Linked DNA regions of Cricetulus griseus. The protein of the gene in region 1 interacts with the protein of each later gene in a pairwise test. Links are inferred from orthologs where the notes say so. Each region holds a gene or a part of one and is shown in the gene's direction. Other genes may lie near its edges.

Region 1 (5,561 bases):
CGACAGCAGTGATCTTTGATAGCATTATATGAGGCTTTTCAAAAGATTTATTTCATTTTAAACTCTATATACATGAGGGGAGGGTATGTGGATGTAAATGCAGGTCCCAGAAGGAGGCATCGGATACCCCCCCCCCCCCCCGGAGTTACAGGTGGTTGTGAGCCTCCTGTGGGCGCTGGGAACCAAATCCAGGTCCTCTGGGAGATCAGTACCTACTTAATTAACCTCGGAGAAGTCTCTGTAGCCCCAATATTATTATTTAGTTTTTAGGCTTTTTGTTTCTTTTAAATGCTTTGCAAAAGTTTGTGTTTTTTCCCACTGTTGTTTGTTTTTGCATAGCCACCGTGTTATTTTCAACAGTGCCATAGAAAATGTTATCACAGTTTGCTGTGACTGCCTATAACTCACCTGTGGGACAAGTTGTTATCCACTTCCTCATCCCTGCCATTTGCCCTTTGGGCTGTTTCCCCACATTTTCAAGGTCTTTATGGGGAGACCCACCTGTATCTGTGATTGGGTCCTCAAGGAAGTGCCTAGCACACAGTGAGCAGTTGTCATGCTGTTGCTGGTCCACTCGGCTGGACTGCTCCCCACCACCACCATCGCTGTGTGACACCTACAGGGACACTGTCAGGTTCAGGCTCTGGAATGGTTGTGCTCTCTGCCAGGAGGCCAAAGAGAGCAGGAAATGGTTTCTTTGGCAATGTCAGCATGATGACCCCAGGCCTGGCCCACGGGAGTGAATTTTAACAAGCACAGTTCCCAGAACAGAACCTGCAGAGCAAAAGAAAAGCAAATAAGCAAGCAAAAAATAAATAAAGAAAGAAAAGAAAACCCTGTTGGAAAATACACACAGAGATTAAAATAATGTTTGGCACTTACATCACACTTTTAAAATTCTTCAAACGCTTTAGAAACACTGGCTAATTAATTAAGCTGCCTAAATCTGCTTGCAGTTGGGTGAGATCTCCAGAGGAGCTAAAAAAGGAGGGGGGCAAAGGGGAGGAGCCAGCCCTCCCCAGCCCAGATTTTATTGTCACCTGCCCGGGGTGTGATTACAAGCCTCTGGCTGCACCACAAGAATAGCCCTGCTCCAACTTGTCAGCTCCCAATTCCCAAGTTCCTCCTGAGCGTAGCTCCTTCGTCAGCCGCTGACTCACAGCTCTGTGTTCAGTTGAGGATGGGGATAATGATAACAGAGCACCAGCTCCGGGTCACCAGGGTTAGCTCTGCTCAACTGATGATGGAAGAGGCCCGGGGTTGTGCCAGGGTCACAGAGCAAATAAAACCCGTACTTTCTCAGCTCATCAGTGTGTTGTTTCAGCATAGACGTGTTTTGGGTACCCAGTCTCCCTGGCTGGGCTGAAAATCACAGAGATCCACGTGCCTCTCCAGCCTGTTTCTATTGAGGACACAGTATATACCAGGCAGGAGGCTAGACAGTACTTCCTAGTAGATCTACCATCCTAATGGTGGAGAAAATAACAGTCCACAGCAAATCAGATACATAAAGAATACAGCAATGAGATGAGAGGGTTAAGAACTTGAATTAAGCCAGCAAGTATACAGCAAGAGCTTATGCATAGCTCTGGAACAATCTTCATGACAAAGCAGAGGGCAGATACCATTTCCCTGCTTATGTCTGATTGAATGGGAGTCCACTCATGAGTACCCAGCTGCCAAAGAGGGCCTGTTCTCGCCCAGGCCTGTGCTTCATGCAAGTGGTGGTTCCAGTTCAACCGGTCTCCCGTGGTTCACTGTAGACACACTGGAATGTTCATGGCTCCCTGCTATTGGCCGTAGCTGGTGATGTCATCGATGCCCTTGGGAGGCTTCCTGTCTCTTCAAGCCTGTTCCCTCCTTGTGTGAGTCACTTGCCTGTCATTGGCCTACCTTCTAGGCTGGCCAATGCTGCCTGAGCCCCTGACTTCTCTAGTTCTCATTTCTTCCCCTGGAGTGTGAGAATCAGGCTGTGCCCAGGCTGGTTCTGCAGACTCTGCTCACACCTGGCATGAAAAGTGGCCCTCAAGGGGATCCCTGGCTGGGGAAGAGGACGAGACAAGACAGTGAGCAACAGATGACAGGCCTATGCCAAGGCCCTGGGTACCTGCAGTGAGAGCAGAGCCGATCAATCCATGGAGCTCTCTTGCCTTAGGCGCTCTTGCCTTGCCAGTGCAACAATATCAGGCCATGGGCTAACATACAATGTCTCTTTTACTGGTTCAGCATAAGAGGGCCTGGTAAAAGATTCTGCTACAGCCCTGTCAAATAGACAGGTCACATTAGAAGCCAGTGGACAGTCCAGCTGAGACCAAGATCACCTGACTCACTGTTCCTGCTGTTGTCATCCTCCTCATCCTGTCTTGGGTCACCCTGTCTCTAATGTCTGTGTGTTCAAATGCTCATGTTCCACATCCACACATCCAGCAAGCCATCACTCAGGAAAGTAGTGGGGCCACTGTGCTTGGATGGCAAGGGTTTTATCCACTGAGATACCCCTCAGCCCCAAATGCTGCCTTTTAACATGCTCATTGGCCTGAACTTGTTTGTTTCTGTCAGAAGTTCATTAAGATGGGCTCATGGTAAACATTTTACAGACGAAGAAATGAAGGCTAGGGACCATAAATAGCCCAAGCTGAAGCCACACTCACACCCCTGCAGCTCTTGACAGTGGGTGAGCACCTAGGCCTTCTCTGTCGACCTACTGAGGGCCCCCAGTGATGCAGCCACATGCTACTGAGCCCCACCTAGGGCCCGAGTTCTCAGCTCTCCTACCACCAGACTGCTGAGAGCAACTGCTCTGCCAGGACTTGCTTTCAAGCACAGAATCTACCTCTTTGAAAAGCACCACACACACCAGGGTCTCCTACTTCTTCATCTCTACCAAGTTTGTTCCCTCAGTGGGGAATCCAGGCTCCCATTCTAACCGAAAATTTTAGATTTGAATTCCAGAGCCCAGCTCAGACGTGACACTTCCCCAAAGGGCTTGGACACTCTGCTACACTAAGCTGTGTGACTTAGCACTCTGTCTTAGTTTTCTTGTCTTGAGTTACAGGCCCTCATGGGGATTAAACATGATAACGCATGCAGTGTGCTGAACTCAACACCGTTGTGTGTGCTCAATCAGTGAAAATCACTGATGGACTTGCAGGATCCCTTAAGGTGAGTCATAGCTGCCATCTGTCTTTTCAGGAGCCACAACCAAGGACCTGAAGGTGATTCAGCCTGAGAAGTCAGTGTCTGTTGCTGCTGGGGATCAGGCCACGCTGAACTGCACTGTGACCTTGCTGTTGCCTGTGGGACCCATTAAGTGGTTCAGAGGAACAGGGCAAAGCCGACATCTAATCTACAGTTTCACAGGAGAAAAGTTTCCTCGAATTACAAATGTAACAGATACTACCAAGAGAAACAACTTGGACTTTTCCATCCAAATCAGCAACGTCACCCCAGCAGATGCCGGCACCTACTACTGTGTGAAGTTCCTTAAAGCAGAAGCTGACAAGGAACTTCGGTCTGGAGGGGGAACAGTGCTCAATGTGCTTGGTGAGTAAGCCTGTGCCTTCTTCATCCCCTGGTGTGTAGCATCATGTCAGAGGAGAGCATCCCCTATCCCGTGAGTGTGGCTCATAGCAGGTGCAGTGGAGAGCGTGGTCATCATCTGACCTCAACCTCCGGCAGATTAGGGTAGCCAAAGCCAGTTGTTTGCTCCAGGCTCCAGTGCCAGCAAGTAAGAGGACATCTGCACCCTCATCCACCTGCCCCACGGCCCTCTCTTTTCCTTGCACATGGGTCACGCTACCAGTGAGTGCCAGAGTGTAGACCAGAATGCAGATCCCAGCCAGGCTCCTTGCTGCCCAGGCACTAAGCATCTCCATAGATGAGCCAAGAACACGGAGGTGCTGAGGAAATGCTGAGCCTTGAGGAGATGCTGAGCCTTGAGGAAATGCATCACTTTCACAGAGATTCGGATGCCCCTTCCCTTTAAAACCTGAGGTCTGTTAGTGACAGGAAAACCTCTGCCAAATGTCGTCCAGGTCCTTACTCCATATCAGGACACTAAGGGCCATTGTGTAAATGGCTGCATTTTACTCCAGCACCTAGATATTCCACAACTTATTGTAGTCTTCTGTTGGTAGACAGTTCCGTTCTTCCCAGCTGTGGAGTTTGAAAACAGTGCTGCCCTGGATGGCTCAGCCCACATGTCTAGGGCAGAGATACCCATTGCAAGAAGCCTACTATATCACATAATGTGTTCCTTTTAATTTATGTGGATGGTACCAGTTTTCCCTCCAGGTAGCAGCCAACTCTCCTCGCCATCCACCCCTGCACAGAAGCAGGGCAGGTAGCTTGTCCTGACTTTGTAAGTATGACAGAGAGCCCTAGATGGGGTGCCAGGGTCATTACTGAGTATCAGAAGTACAGTGGCCATGAGGACAGGGGACAGAGTCTAACTGTCTGGAGCCATATTCCAGATAAGCCACTCCCTTGCCTTTGTCCTGGACAAGCCTCTCCACACATCACATTGGTGGCCTCATCTGTCCATGACACTCTCACCGAGTGTGTGGTCAGGACTGAAGCAGTGACATCATATCAAACACATAGAACAGTGTCTGGCTTGTAGAAAATATCCCATCAGTGGGAAATGTGTTGAGCTGTATCCATGTGACCTTGGGTGGGCCACTTGCCTTTCCCAGGCCTCAAGTGTTGGTGGGGTTGTGATGAGTTGGTGGCTTTCCATCTGTCTGCTTGCATGACTCATCTATGAAACTTAAAAAAAAAACCCACATATCTCATATCTACCCTAGAAATTCTGCTGTAATTGGCTTGACATGGATCTGAAGTGTGTGTGTGGTGTGTGTGTGTGTGTGTGTGTGTGTGTGTGTGTGTGTGTGTGTGTGTGGTGTGTGTGTGTGTGTGTGTGTGTGTGTGTGTGTGTGTGTGTGTGTGTGTGTGTGTGGTCACACCTACCTGTGTATGAGCAGAGGACTGAGGAGAATGTGTAGTGTCCTATTATATTACTCCCTGCCTTACTCCCTTGTGACTGGGTCTCTCATTGATCCTGGAGCTAGGTTGGAGGCCAGCAGACCCCAGTGATCCTTTTATATCCTCACCGCTCCCACAGCACTGGGGTATAGGCACAACCATCATGTTCAGCCTTCTTTTATTAAAAAAATATTTTTTCACTTTACATACCAACCCAAGTTTCCCCTCCCTCTCCTTCTCCTGCCCCACTTCCAACCTCCCCGACCATCCACTCCTCAGAGGGATAAGACCATCCTGGGGAGTCAAGAAAGTCTGCCATGTCAAGTTGAGGCAGATGTCCAGCCTTTTTAAAACATGATTCTAAGGATTTGAACTCAGGTCCTCATACTTGCTCAGCAAGTGTCTTACCTTCACATCCATCTCAACTGCTTGCATCTGAAGTTTCTCACCACAGCCAGGCTGCGATACATGTCTTGAAACCACAGGAGAGATGCTATGACTTTTCTTTTTCCCCTGGCTAAGCTGTTCCCCCATGAAGCCAATGCTCAGAAAGCTTTATTCCTCAGCATTGCTCTCTG
Region 2 (6,144 bases), on another chromosome or scaffold:
ACATAATAATAATAGGTAAAATAAATCTGACAGGCAGTGGTGGCGTACAACTTTAATCCCAGCACTCAGGAGGCAGAGGCAGGCAGATATCTGTGAGTTCAGGTCAGTCCTGTCTACAGAATGAGCTCCAGGACAGCCAGAGCTGTTACATGGAGAAACCCTGTCTCCAAAAACCAAATAAATAAATAATTAATAGAAATAAAGGAAAAGGGTAGCTAGGCTGGAGACATAACTTAGTGGTCGAGTCAGTGCCTAACATGCTCAAGGCCTAAATGCAAACTCATATGGAACACATAACCTTTACTAGCCAGGTGAGGGTGGCACACGCCTTTAATCCCAGCACCTGGGAGGCAGAGGCAGGAGGATCTCTGAGTTCAAAGCCAGCCTGGTCTACAAATCCAGTTCCAGGACAGCCAGGACTGTTACACAGAGAAACCCTGTCTCAAAAAAACAAAAACAAAAACAAACAAACAAACAAAACCAAAAAACTCTTTACTAATATTTACACTTCTATAGGAAAGGAACATCTCCCAAGATCTTAGGTAGGAAGCAAAGGCAAATCAAGGTAACCTCTTAGGAGCATGGTGACATCCCCCGGCTGTAATGCCAGCACTATGGAGGAGGTGGTGGCAGCAGGGTCAAGAGTTCAAGGTCATACTTAGCTAGTAAAGTTTGTGGATGGCCTAAACTACACAAGATCAAACAACAGCACAGATACCCGGTTAGCACCCAGGAGTTTGAGACAAGAGATTGCTGTGAGTTTGAGGCCAGCCAGGGTTACATAACAAGTCGTCTCACTCCCACAAAAGTTTTTAAAAAAAGGAAAAAAAAATCCCCCCTACTAGGGAGAGGATTGAAGAAAAGTATTGTCTCTTAGCATATTCTAGTTGTTGGAACAATTTAAATCTGATGATTCAAGTTCCTTAGGAACTAATAGGAGGTGGGTATTATAGACCAATAGCAGTTCTTTGTGCACAGGGGAACTCTGGGCCTGGATAGGGGTAACCGGAGCCCAGAGAGTCTGCTGCCCCCAATGCTGCTTCGACCTCCCCCTGAAACTGTGGAACCCATAGCACCCATGGATGTAAGTATCTTTGCCTGGGGCAGGACATGAAATACATGAAGTTGAGCAGTCTGTGCAGCCTTTAAAGGCACCACTTACCAGAGCTCTTCCCAGGTTCTGGGCCCTAGCCTGCAAGGACGAGAATGGACCCTGATGGATTTGGACATGGAGCTGTCTCTGGTAAGAAAGGAGTGGCTGAAGGTTGGTTTGGTTCATGGCTGAAGGATTGCCCCGGTGATTCCTCAGCTCTCTTCCTCAACTTCTGGGCCCCCTTCTCAGCGGCTTCCTGGGGTTCTCTCATGCAGATGCAGCCCTTGGCTCAAGAGAGGGTTGAGGCTGAGCTGACAGTCAAGGAGTTGAATTCTTCAGGTGTAGGTAATGGTGATGGGGACCCCTGGGCAGAAGCCACCATGATCTGAATTACCATGATTGGGTGGGCTGGGCAGCTTAGGTGGGGTAAGGATGAGCCTGAATTCAGGCTGCCTTGTAGAGTCGCCTAGAGTCACCCATACTGCCATCATTGTGTGAGAGTGGTAGTGTCAAGAATGACGTTTTAAACTAGATATGGTAGAGCGTGCTTATAATCCCAGGACTTGAGAGTCTGAGACAGGACGACCATGAGCTCAAGGCCAGTCTGGGCTATGCAGCAAGACAGTAAGACCGGGCCTTTAAAGCGTGTATGTGTGTGGATAATGTTACATCCTAACTGAAGGAGGGCTCTCCTAAGCCCAGCCTACTCCTCCTAGGAAAAGACCACACGCTGGGAACTCCACTGCTGCTGGACATTCCCGCAGATTTGGAGGGTGCAGCCCTGCCAGTGCCTGGGGCTTTAACCCTTTACAATGCCCCTGAAAGCAGTGCCTCCTACTTGGACCCTGGAGCCAATCCCTCTTCCCCTTGAGGCTTCCACCTCTCTTAAAAGCCTGACAAAGGACCCAGCACGCAGCAGCACACCCCTTCAGGCTTCTCGGCGTCCCCTCCCGGGGCGGGGGGGGGGGGATGGATAAGCGAAGCCCCATTATGCGGCAGCCTCTCTCCACTACCCCAGTGAATTCTACAACATAAACTGCATTCCCCCACTCTGTTTCTGGTCTCTCTTTTTTTCTATCAACCAAAGATCATTAGAGTCATGGGTGGGCGACGACTTTGCGTTCATACAAGTGTCCAGATGTTTGGATCCAGAAACGTCCAGACGCTCGGACTTTCATGGAAACCCCTACCTGGAGAATGGTGGTACTTGGGAGAGGCTAACTCTCCCACTTGCACTGAGATGCCAGCCACTGTAACCTCCAGGAAGCAGGCGTTTCCGCGCCACATCCAACTCCTCTATATACGTGTCTCAGACTCTGGACAAGTCAGTTCCCTTCTATAAACTTATCTGTGACAGGCGGAGGGAGAGGTCGTAGGAGGGCAAATTAAAAGCACCTAGCAATTAGAAGGCCCAGAATGGGCTGGACCCGTGGTACTGTGAGCTGAGCTGACCCCCTGACTCAAATCCGGGTGCTCTGGGGCCGGGGAAGAGAACGGACTATGCGTCCCCCTGCCAGAGCGTGGCCTCTTCTGGCGTCCGAGTTCGCCGAAGCAGAGAAGCACACCCCTCCCCCTCCCCATTCCCGGCAGCCCTGGCCGCCCCGCCCCCTTTGCAGCTGCCGTTCGCGTCCCCACCCTGCTTGCTCTGCCCTTTCTGCACCGTCATCTGCCCCGGTGAGGCTCAACTCCGTTGTGGGGCTGTCCGAAACGCTCCGGACCACAAGCCGGACTCCACCCAGCAGGGAGAGAAAGGAAACAGATTGGGCAGAGTACCGAGCCTCACCCCCAGCAGCGGAGCTCGAAGGTCTGTGGGCCCCGCTCTTCTTCAGGGCTTTAGAATTGAGTTGAGGGCTGGAGGGTACCCTTGCGGTTGCGCATGCGCGACCACCTCTTGCAGGTTCCACCCTGGTTCCCCAACAAATCCCAGCCAGTCAGCAAGCTGGGGGTCCCAGACCAGGCCAGGTCACCTGGGGCTCAAAGTAACATTTAGTCTTGTCCTTTGATGTACTGGCCAGGGCATAACCAGAGTTTACCCTAGAGCTGTGATAACCTCAAAGGGAGGCCCCAAATCAGCTAGGGGCTAGGCGGGTGGTGGTGGCAGCAGCCTTTAAACCCAGCACGCAGGAGGCAGAAGCAGGCGGATGTCTGAGTTCCAGGACAGCCAGGGCTACAATAGCGAAACCCTGTCTTGGAAAAAAATCAATGAGTTAAGGTCTAAAACAGCTAGGGTCTCTGCTTCTCAGACAAGACAAAAGGTAATACTTAAGTTACCGGGGAGACAGCTAACATAAAAATAACTTAAGGTACAGAGATGGGAAAAGAGAAGATCCAGCCTCAAAGTCTGGCCAGAATAGGTGAAGGCCTCACCCCCTTCCCTGTAAGTACAACCATAGCTACCTTTAAACTCTTAAGAATTGGGGTAGACATGGGAGCATTTCAGTCTTGAGGGCTAGATCCATAGAATAGAGGGGAAGAGAAGAGACTCCCAGACCTAGGGAACAGCACCAGCAAAGGCTAAGGTGCCAGGACCATAAATGTTCTTGCAGGACTGAATGGTGGATGTAAATGGCAAAGAACTGGCTGGCAAGGGTGATAGGGAGGGAATTAAAATAGCCAGACCAGGTAGCTTAGATTATTTGATGGGTAATGAGGAGGATAGGCCTGGCATTCAACTAGGCAAGAGACATTATAGTTTAAGCTAGGGTGAGTCAGATCGCAGTTGTACTGGGTTTTTCTGAGCCTGTCTCTTCACCCATAAAACTGGAACAATAAATGCTAGCCCAGAGTTGTCAAAGTCACTATGTTGGAGTGAGGGAGGGGAGGAGTAGCCGTGAGTGAGGTACTCAGAGGCCCTCATTGTTCTGGGAGACAAACTGCTGATGGGGGGCTTAAGGGGCAGGAGCTGATGCAGAGTGACTATAGGGCATATGACAGAGAAGGGGGATAGTGATGGGGGATGTCCTTCTGTATATATGTTCTTATTGGTTGATGAATAAAACAGTTTGGCCACTAGAGGCCAGAAGATAGGGGGGACTAAGAGACGAGAATTCTGGGAAACATAGGCAAAGAGAAATGCCATGTAGCCCCAGAAGGAGTAACAGGTCCATGGTCCGAACTCTTCTCCAGTAAGATAAGACCACATGGCAATACTTAGATGAATAGAAATGGGTTAATAATTAGGACAGAATTAGCCAATAAGAAGCCCTAGCCATCGGCCAATAGTTTGATAATTAATATAGCGTTCATGAGTTTATTTGGGGCTCAAGTGGCAGTGGAACCTGGGGTGGGGGACAAGAAACTCCAGCAACAGGATAGAGTGGGAGGAAATGTCCCTGGTCTGTGCTTAGTGGCCTTGGGGAAGAGCTGTCACTTAGATATGAGGGGTGGAGGGGGACCCAAGGTATAAAGTGACTGGACCAGGAACAGTATAGTGTGAGAGTCCTGAAACCTGGGAGGCATGCTGTGTGTGTGTGTGTGTGTGTGTGTGTGTGTGTGTGTGTGTGTGTTGGGGTATGGGATCCAATGGCCTAGGAAAGAAGAAGGTAGGATAGGGACATTCAGGACAGAAGAGACCTAGAAGGATGCTATATGGACAAAGCTAAGGCCAGATTTCTTTTTTCCTTAATGCTGACTGGCCACACAACCCAAGCGGGAAGTAGTCCTTAGATGATAATAGATGAGCAGAGTAGATTAATTTGCACCCATTTCCTAGTTTGGTAGAGGCAGCCTCTTAAAATGGATAATCCACAGAGGAAACTAAAAGTTTGGTAAGCATTCCTTAATGGCTTTTAAGAGCTGGGCCTTGGATGTTTCAAGGTCAAGTAAGAGATGGCTGTGTGTCACTGCCAGGCCATCAGGGAAACAGATGAGTCCCTGATGACAGGAGGTCTGTTAAAATTCAGGAGTACTCCGTTCTCCTGCTTAGATAGTAAGGAACCAGGACAAGTCACAGACCATGCTGAAGTGCAGTCTGGTGGTGAGTGAAAGGGCAAGGTTCTGGAATGCATGGACCCCGGGGTTAGGTGAATGGTGCATGCATGCCTCAGCACTTTTGGCTTTGGATGCATCTCAGATTGTATGAGAGATCAGCTGGGCTGCCCTGATCCAAGGTTTGCTGCAGGGTTCAGGAAGGAGATAGGAATTAATCCTAGGGTTTTCTGCCAGTTTAGGTAAGGAATTGAGTTTAGAAAAAATAATTCAGTTGGATAAATTGAGTCTCAACTGGTGGCCAGCTGGACAGGTGGCCAGGGCTTAGGAGGGAAGTCCTAACTAGTGAGAGCATTCAGCTAACGGGTAGAGACCAGAAGAGGAATCTAAGGAGTCAGAACAAAGGCAACCAACAGGCTGGAGGGTGAGTTCTGTGCCCCTGGCTTCCAGGTCTTCCGCTGAAGAAACATCCAGACTCTGATGTCCAGGTGAACTTAGATCCCTCCTGGGAGAGGTCAGCGTGTGGGAACGCCAGCCCCCCACACCACCCCCCATTTCTCTCCTTCTCCTTGATATAGCCCAAACATGGGCAACGTACAGGAGCGGCCATCGGAGACCATTGACCGGGAACGGAAACGGCTGGTAGATACATTACAGGCTGACTCTGGGCTGCTGCTGGATGCGCTGGTGGCCCGGGGTGTGCTCACTGGGCCTGAGTATGAAGCCTTGGATGCACTGCCTGATGCAGAGCGCAGGGTGCGCCGTCTGCTGTTGTTGGTGCAAAGCAAGGGCGAGGCAGCCTGCCAGGAGCTACTGCGCTGTGCCCAGCATACCGTGCGTGTGCCAGACCCTTCCTGGGATTGGCACCACGTGGGGCCTGGTGAGCACCAGGAGGGTGGAGCCTTGTTGAGATGGGGGTGTGACTTGGGGTGAGGCAAAACTAAGGGTAAGTGGAGGGCAGAGAATGCGGAGGCAACAAACCAGAGGGGTGAACTGAGCCTCAAGTATTCCACTTTCTCCCCCAGGCTACCGGGACCGCAGCTATGACCCTCCATGTCCAGGCCACTGGACGCCTGAGGTACCTAGTTCAGGGACCACATGTCCTGGTCTGCCCAGAGCTTCAG

Evidence for each region. The genes of interacting proteins can lie anywhere in the genome.
Region 2: the proteins of Sirpa (region 1) and Nol3 interact in a two-hybrid assay, tested with the Homo sapiens proteins (2 studies listed by BioGRID and IntAct). The two-hybrid records come from large-scale screens. The link is inferred for Cricetulus griseus from reciprocal best matches to the Homo sapiens genes SIRPA and NOL3.

Annotation. Positions count from the first base shown.
Region 1 is NC_048599.1:48,989,400-48,994,960, reverse strand, and holds part of Sirpa (tyrosine-protein phosphatase non-receptor type substrate 1), read left to right. Parts: intron 1-3,192; coding exon 3,193-3,543; intron 3,544-5,561. UniProt on the Homo sapiens protein: Immunoglobulin-like cell surface receptor for CD47. Acts as docking protein and induces translocation of PTPN6, PTPN11 and other binding partners from the cytosol to the plasma membrane.
Region 2 is NC_048596.1:181,562,348-181,568,491, forward strand, and holds the start of Nol3 (nucleolar protein 3), read left to right. Parts: upstream 1-2,702; 5' UTR 2,703-2,897; intron 2,898-5,470; 5' UTR 5,471-5,500; coding exon 5,501-5,508; intron 5,509-5,598; coding exon 5,599-5,900; intron 5,901-6,045; coding exon 6,046-6,144. Other genes in the region: Hsf4 (heat shock factor protein 4), read left to right, coding at 979-1,084, 1,178-1,243, 1,369-1,438, 1,810-1,964.